Danio rerio: one gene and its partner. The protein of the gene in region 2 interacts with the protein of the main gene of each other region in a biochemical or structural test. Links are inferred from orthologs where the notes say so. Each region holds a gene or a part of one and is shown on either strand. Other genes may lie near its edges.

Evidence for each region. The genes of interacting proteins can lie anywhere in the genome.
Region 1: the proteins of bmpr2a (region 2) and gdf5 form a complex in vitro, tested with the Homo sapiens proteins (2 studies listed by BioGRID and IntAct, with this or other methods). The link is inferred for Danio rerio from reciprocal best matches to the Homo sapiens genes BMPR2 and GDF5.

The regions. Positions count from the first base shown.
Region 1 is NC_133181.1:55,394,097-55,398,258, reverse strand, and holds the start of gdf5 (growth/differentiation factor 5), read left to right. Parts: upstream 1-1,257; 5' UTR 1,258-1,347; intron 1,348-4,162. UniProt on the Homo sapiens protein: Growth factor involved in bone and cartilage formation. During cartilage development regulates differentiation of chondrogenic tissue through two pathways.
Region 2 is NC_133181.1:13,808,028-13,812,387, forward strand, and holds the start of bmpr2a (bone morphogenetic protein receptor type-2a), read right to left. Parts: upstream 2,897-4,360; 5' UTR 2,234-2,896; coding exon 2,158-2,233; intron 1-2,157. UniProt on the Homo sapiens protein: On ligand binding, forms a receptor complex consisting of two type II and two type I transmembrane serine/threonine kinases.

The DNA of each region.
Region 1 (4,162 bases), about 42 Mb from region 2:
CTGAGAAAAATTCTCTTTTTATTTCTCTTAAAAGGCAATGAAAAGAACTTATCCGTCACTATAAATGTAAAATTACTGAGCCTACACACAGGAGTTGCAGAAAAATGCTTATTTTAGAAGAAAAGTTGCTATATATAGCAATTATATATATATAGCTATTATATATAGCTATTATATCTATATAAATAAAACAAAATACATTTTTGTGTATTTATTTATTTTTTATTATTATTATGCTTTAAAAACATACATGACAATATAGTAAACACAACAATGCCAGGGCGATAGAAAGTAAATTATAGCATCAATACATAAAATTAAAAAAATAAAATAAAACAAACATAAAAACAAGAGTATTAATACTTAACTAAAATTCTTACAAATATGAATAAGCAGGACCTTAACATTAATCAAAAATATTGAAACTAGAACAAAGTTGGACAGTTTTAATGGCCTTTCCATTAGCACTATGCTGCAGTGCAAAAGTAATTTTTCAGTTTCTTATAAAACACAGTAAAACAGGTTTTTTGTTGGAAAATGTACACTTATGAATATAACACTTAATTAACAAAATAAATAGGTTAATAACAAAAGCTTCATTATTCAAATTATAATAATTACAATTGTTGGCGTTTCTGTGTGGAGTTTGCATGTTCTCCCTGCCTTCGCGTGGGTTTCCTCCCGGTGTTCCGGTTTCCCCCACAGTCCAAAGACATGTGGTACAGGTGAATTGGGTAGGCTAAATTGTCTGTAGTGTATGAGTGTGTGTGTGTGTGTGGATGTTTCCCAGAGATGGGTTGCGGCTGGAAGGGCATCCGCTGCGTAAAAAACTTGCTGGATAAGTTGGCAGTTCATTCCGCTGTGGCGACCCCAGATTAATAAAGGGACTAAGCCGACAAGAAAATGAATGATGAATGAATAATTAAAATGTGTGTGTTATGTGTGTAAGCTACATCAACATACATGTCTAAAAAATGACCTCATGCGTATGACAGGCGTTTTGCAGTGTTTTTCGTATCATTTTTGTGAAATCTCGTAAAATGGTGATCGTATTAACAATGTTGTCGTCATGCACGTCGAATGAGCAAATTAAAATACTTTTTTAGTGTAAATGTACCCTCAGAAATTACACAGAGACTACAATTGAAGTGACGTCATTGTGAAAGTAGCGGCCGGTAATGGCGTCCTCCTGTTGACTTCGAGCACACCTGAATCAAATCAACAGTTGGTTTATTCAGAGGATTTATCGTGTAAAATGGCTAACGAAGGAGGAGGAATAAAATGTTTTTCGATTCAGCAATGCACTTGAAGTTAAACCGTTGGAGGCCGAAAAAGCGCTGGATAAAGGTAGATTTTGTTAGTTTTGTGTATTGGTCAGATATAGGCCGTTTAACGTTAGTTCATTTAGGCAAAATACACACACAATTTTGTGATCGTGACGTAACACAAACATCAACCGATTAATAAAAATGTTTTAGTATATTAAATTACCATTAAATCATACTAGCATTTTCTCAATGAGCACAAGTGCTCGTGTTTAATGATTTTGATTAATTAACTTAGTGCTAAAATTTCATTCAGATTCAAGTCACTGTAGTTTATTAAACTTAAATTCTTATCACGTAAGTATATTATTAAAAAGAAATAAATGTAGCCTTAATAAGTAAAATGTTTATTTGTGCTTCATTAAACTCAGGAACACCTTTACCTTTTATAATAACTTAATAATTTAAAGGGATAGTCCACACAAAACTGAAAATTTGACATTCACTCACCCTTCGTCAATCACAAACCTGTTTTAGTTTTTTTTTCATCTGTTGAACTTAAAAGAAGAATATATATATATATATATATATATATATATATATATATATATATATATATATATATATATATATATATATATATACACCAAATATATTTTAAAAACTTGAAACCAGTAACCAATGACTTTCATAGTATTTGTTTTTACTAGTATGGAAGTCAATTAAAAGTCTCTAACATTCATCAAACTTTTTTCTAATATTCTTCAAAAAATCTTTGTGTTTGTGTTCAGCAGTAAAAATAATCTCATAACCATAACATATTTGAGCAATACCAGTGTTATGGATGTGACATTTGCAGTAAAAACTCAAAACACAAATTCACATAGAAAGTTTAAGTTAACATTATATTAAAACATCTGTTGATATTTTCCAAAGCTACTAACCACAGAGTTATAAGATTAGAAAAATATAAATCTTTAAACATATTAATATTTTAAATAAAAAACATAAACATGTGTTATTGATGTGACTAAAAAAGTCTGCGAGTTTGCAATATATAACATACTTTGTAGAAATTCTGTGAATTAAACTGCACAACCCCCCAAAAAATGCTAATTAACAGGAGAAGAGTTGGCTCACTGTAGAACAAACATGACAGATTTTATTTTATTTCATATTTTTGCATTTATGAGGAAGAATCTTCATTATGGATGTGGCATCTCTGCGTTATGGATGTGACCGATGTGAAGAGGCAGTGCATAGAAAAAGTCTCTCCAAATAGAGCCTTTCAAATCGCCTCAGGAAATTATATTCATATTACAATATACATTCACTGGCCACTTTATTAGGTACAATTGCACGTTAACGCAAACTTAGAATAAAAAAAATACTAAATTAAATTGATAGGCAACAATAACTCCAATAACCACTCATTACAACTGAGGTGTGCAGAAGAGAGGTGTGGTTGTCGCTGGGGCACTTCAGATCATTTTGGAAGGGCACTTTCTATCCAAAACTAAAAAGGGCATGTGCACTGTACAGGTTGAGCCCTATGTGTGCATGTGCCTGTTAAATGGTCAAACTTATAGCTTTCAAAAGCCTGTTTGGCCTAAATAACACTCAAAGGTCATCAGGTGTTTCAGCATGTTGGTTTGGTGTTGTGTTTTATTGAACCGTTAGTGACGGATGAACTCTGAATAGTGGGACAGTCCTTAATATGTAATCTAATTGACTCAGTGTTAAACTGGGAATTTCCACCCCTAGAGAAATGACTGTAAGTGCGTGTGTGTGTGTGTGTATCTGTGTGTGTGTGTTTTAGGCATGCTGATGCCTGTCTGCTTTCCTATCAAAACAAATGAGCATACCAGACCAGGATAATTAGTTTTCTTATTAGATTGAAGGATAAAAATAGAAAGTGTTTTGATTAAAGAGAGGGTTAATAAGGGTTATGCAGGAGACCTTGATCATTAACTGTTTTGTTTATCAAAAAGAAAAATATTGACAGGATTTTTAAAATCAGGTCCAGGCTTAACTTGTCACCAACAAACCTAATCTGCCAAACAGCAGCTCTGGAAAAATTATAATATACAGTAATATATGCATATTTGTAAGCTTAAATTATATTTTGTGCAAATAGATTAATATAAATTGCATTATTTATATATAGTTGAAGATTATTTTTAAATAATCCAGTGCTTAGCAAAAAGCGCAGGGGTTAGCACTGTTGCCTCACAGCAGGAAGGCCACTGGTTTGAGTCACGGCTAGGCCAGTTGGTATTTCTGTGTGAAGTTTGCATGTTCTCCCCATGTTGGTGTGAGTTTCCTCCGGATGCTCCAGTTTCCTCCACAGTCCAAGGACATGCACTATAGGTGAAATTGGATGAACTATTGTGGTTGTAATGTATGAGTGTATGGGTGTTTCCCAGTACTGGGTTGTGGCTGGAAGGGCATCTGCTATATAAAACACATGCTGAAATAGTCGTGGTTCATTCCGCTGTAGCAATCTCTGATGAAAAAAAAAAAGGGGACTAAACCGAAGGAAAATGAATGAATATCTTTTGTCTTTGCCATCATGGCAGTACATAATATCACTGTAAAACCCACTAAGTTAAGAACTCAAACCATTTGAGGAAGCCGATTGCAACAAATCGTTTGAGTTCAAAAACTAATTCTAAGGAGCACTGTGAACATTTAAGTAAATGAAGCAATTTTAGCAGTAAAACTCGATAAATGAAGAGAACTCAAACCTACTTTTTTTTTTTTTTTTTGCTGTACATTAACTAAAAAATAATTTAATTATATAAAGCACGGCCTTATAATTAATATAATATTAATTTAATTCACTTTTATTTGTATAGTGCTTTTACAATGTAAATTGTGTCAAAGCAGCTTCACAT
Region 2 (4,360 bases):
CCGCAAAATGCAAAATTAAGTTTCATGCTTGTCTTTTCAGCTAATCAGTGTTTAGCCTTTATTCTCCGCACATGAACCATGAGCAGGGTCAGTTCTTATCTTATCTGTTTGATGCTCAGTAGCCCTTTACTGCAGCTCAGGGGCTTGTGCCAGAGCCAACACACACACACAAGGAGAGACATACAGTGCTCAGCATATATAAGTACACCCGTCACAAATCTCTCTTTTAAATTCATATTTTCAATAGGAAGCTATACAATATTACATGTGCACATATGCATTAAATAAGTCAGTACTGAAGCCAAATATGGAGCTCTTTGGGTAAAAATATTTTAAAAACCTTTATTCACATGGCTAATCCTTAAAAACCTGTTTTGTTTTTTGTTTAGTTTTTAAGCTTTAGCCATGTGAATAAAGACTTTTTGATATTTTCCACATTTTTTGAGTGCCTTGTACTGATTTTTGCTGTTAAATTGGATAACAATTCACAGATAAATACATTTCTTTTAAATGGATTCATTTATGCAGGGCACTACAGCTCTGTAATAAAAACAATAAAGAGATTACAGCAGCACAATTTAAAAAAATCTTACATTGCATTAGTTTGTTTTGCCACGATATGAGTATAATTTCACCAGATGATTTGAATAGCTCTATTTGGACAGATTTCTTGAGTACGACTTGGGTAATCTGCATTAACTGGAAGAAATTAACATCACATATAAATACTACGGAGCAAAAATAAAAGTGAAATAAACAATGTTTTATGCTTATTTAACAGTATTCAAATACAAAAATTAACAATCGAACAAAATAACACAATCATCATTGTTTAAATATTTTATACAATCATATTAAAATGACATATTTATATTTTAATCTTTAATAAATAATCTAATAAAGCAATGTGACTATTGCAGATACACATATTGTGATATCGATGCTTAAACGATATATTGAGCAGCCCTGGAAGAGACTGTATCAAAGTTATTTTTGCTCTTAAATTAATATGTACATGCTTGTAAAGTGCTAATGTGTATTATTGTATAAACTACTGTTAATGTGTATTCATAATTTCAAATGAAGACTATAAAGTGTCATTTTAGATTTTATAATTAAATTTCTTTACCTCAATACTGTAATTTTCCTCCAAAAAAACATAAAGCACTGATTATTTCTTTATTATCTGTGCTTATATTTTAATTTAATTTAATTTTTTATACAGCGAAGCAGTGGCGCAGTATGTAGTGCTGTTGCCTCACAGCAAGAAGGTCGCTGGGTCGCTGGTTCGAGCCTCGGCTCAGTTGGCTTTTCTGTGTGGAGTTTGCATGTTCTCCCTGCGTTAGTGTGGGTTTCCTCCAGGTGCTCCAGTTTCACCCACAGTCCAAAGACATGCGGTACAGGGGAATTGGGTAGGCTAAATTGTCTGTAGTGTATGAGTGTGTGTGTGAATGTGTGTGTGGATGTTTTCCAGAGATGGGTTGCGGCTGGAAGGGCATCCGCTGCGTAAAAACTTGCTGGATAAGTTAACGTTCATTCCGCTGTGGCAACACCGGATTAATAATAAAGGGACTAAGCCCACAAGAAAATGAAATGAATTATGTAAGCTACTGTTAATGTGTATTTATAATTTCCACATTTTCAATTAGATATTACTAAATCGATTATTACAGCATTTATTTGTAAAAAAATATATATAATAAATAAAATAAAATGACAATAGGTCAACAAAAAATACTGTTTTGGTTAAAATAAATAGGGAAAAAAACATAAATCCACATTTACACTTAATGTGTGTGTGATTGTGTGTGTGTAGACACATACATCCACACACAACAACATAAAAAGTGTGGTTTTACTGACTCTCACACCTCGCTTTGTTACTTTTATCCACAAATACACAAGCACTCACTCTCAGGAAATGAAGAGTTCCTGATGGATGTGGGTGGCAGTGAATTCACCACAACACTGACAGGACGCGCGCACACACACACACACACACACACACACACACTGTAACATACAATTAATTACGCCTTGACTTTGAGAGGATGTGGAGGGATTTGGAAAACCAGGGTGTGGACAGCAATTCTACTGTAATTCTATAATATTTGCTGTCATTTTTTCTATTGCTACTATCTGTTAACTACTACTTACCAGCCACAGGACCCAGAAGAACCACCATGGCAATCAGTCCAACGTCAAGAATTGTTATTCGGCCTTCAACTGCCATGTTTTTTCTCTCCTTTTTCTTCAAATACAGTATATTCGGCTTTATCCTCAATTAATTATACAGCTGTCCAGGTTTCAGAGTCCAACCAGGCAAGAAGATGTGTGCTTTGGAGACTCCAGCATCATATATATTTTTCAAAAGCTGATGTTCATCCTTTCAGAATGGCTATAAAATAGTATGAAAACTATCTTCTTGCGGTAAGCTTCATTGTTTTGTTTAGTTTTTTCCCCCATAAAATGTAAGCTGATGAGTGTGAAATCTGACTACTGGCAGTCTGTGTCTGTAGTAACGAAGCTAATTAACAAATCACGTCAAACTTTGTTTTCCCCTTTGTTCCAGAGCACGAGTCCCATACATTTGCCTAATCGGAGTTTAGCGCAGTTATATGGGACATCCCGACTCCGCGAGCCTCCTGGATGGTAACACACAGTTTCTGAAGAGGGAAACATCCGCTTCGAGATCGCCGACTGTTAAAAATATGTCCATTTGTCGTCATATTCCTCGCCTTACGTTATCTTTTGATCTTCGTTTCAGGGTTTTTCTCCGTTTCCATGATCCACCGAGCTGGGAAATTGTTCGTTTAGCGGTTTTCCTTTCGTATTCCGATCATGGAGAAGGGCGACGTGAGACGGTCAGGAAGGCACAGCAGACCAGACAGCGACTGGAAACGCCTCGTCTTCTTCAGATTGTCTCCGGGATCCGATTGTTCGATGTGGGGGCCGATTTATAAAAGAAAAGAGGCGAAGCGTCCTCATGCGGCAGACTGATGGAATGACAACATAAGGAGACGCTGAAGAAAAACACCGAGGATGATTTAAAAACACTGCTATCAGAGCAGACGTGAAACACTTCCATTTAGAAAAAAATATCTGATAACTGATTTACAATTTATTCTATATAAAATATATTATATTATTATAATCTATATAAAATATATTATCTATTTTCCCACTGTATAATCTAGTTATCTGTCATTATTCAATTAATTACATTTTATATACAAACATAAATACATGTTTGTTTTATATATATTATTTTGTTATATTTAGAATTTGATTACATTTCAACATTTTAAACTTTGTATTTTATTTAATATTTCTTATATTCAATTTTATATGTATTATTTGTGTGTTTAGAAAACTGAGTATAATACTTTAATTTACATAGTTCATTTTACACAATTTTACTAACAATGTTCATACATATACTATAAGAGAGTATAATATTTGTTTTATACTATTTTATTAGATTATATTTTGTATTTTATAGTAATTGTTTAATTTTATATTTAGCCTTGTATATAGCTCTTGTATAAAAGAGATCTAAATATTTGCATATTTAAATAAGAAATATAGCCTATATTTTATATGTATTTTAATTATAATTTAATTATATATATATATATATATATATATATATATATATATATATATATATATATATATATATATATATATATATTCATTTTCTTTTTGACTCAGTCCCTTTATTAATCTGGGGCCACCACAGTGGAATGAACCGCCAACTTATCCAGCACATTTTTTATGCAACGGATGCCCTTCCAGCTGCAACCCACCACCGGAAGAAAAAAAACACATTTGTGTATTTCTTAAAGTTGAATTTTTTTTAAATTACAAAAACATTTACAAACAGGCTATATGTCTTGTAGCCTATATTTCATATCAAAACCTATAGATAAATATTTTTCACAAATACATTTGTACATATTTATTTTGCTATTAATATAAGATTTTGTTGAAGAACAATGGGCTAGTCTTTCGGACCTAACGTAAATAAACTTTTAACATTGTCAGATTTTTTTTAATATAATGCAATTAAATATTTAAATAATTATATAAAAAATATAATGTATTCACTCATTCATTTATTCCTTTTTTCAGCTTAGTCCCTCTATAATCCGGGGCCAGCATGTTTTACGCAGTGGAAACACATCACTGGGAAACATCCATACACACTCATTCACACTCATACACTGATACACAACAGACAATTTATCTTACCCAATGCACCAACAGCACATGTTTTTGGACTTGTGGGGGAAACCGGAGCACGCAGAGGAAACCCACGCCAATATGACGACATCATGCAAAGCCCACACAGAATGTA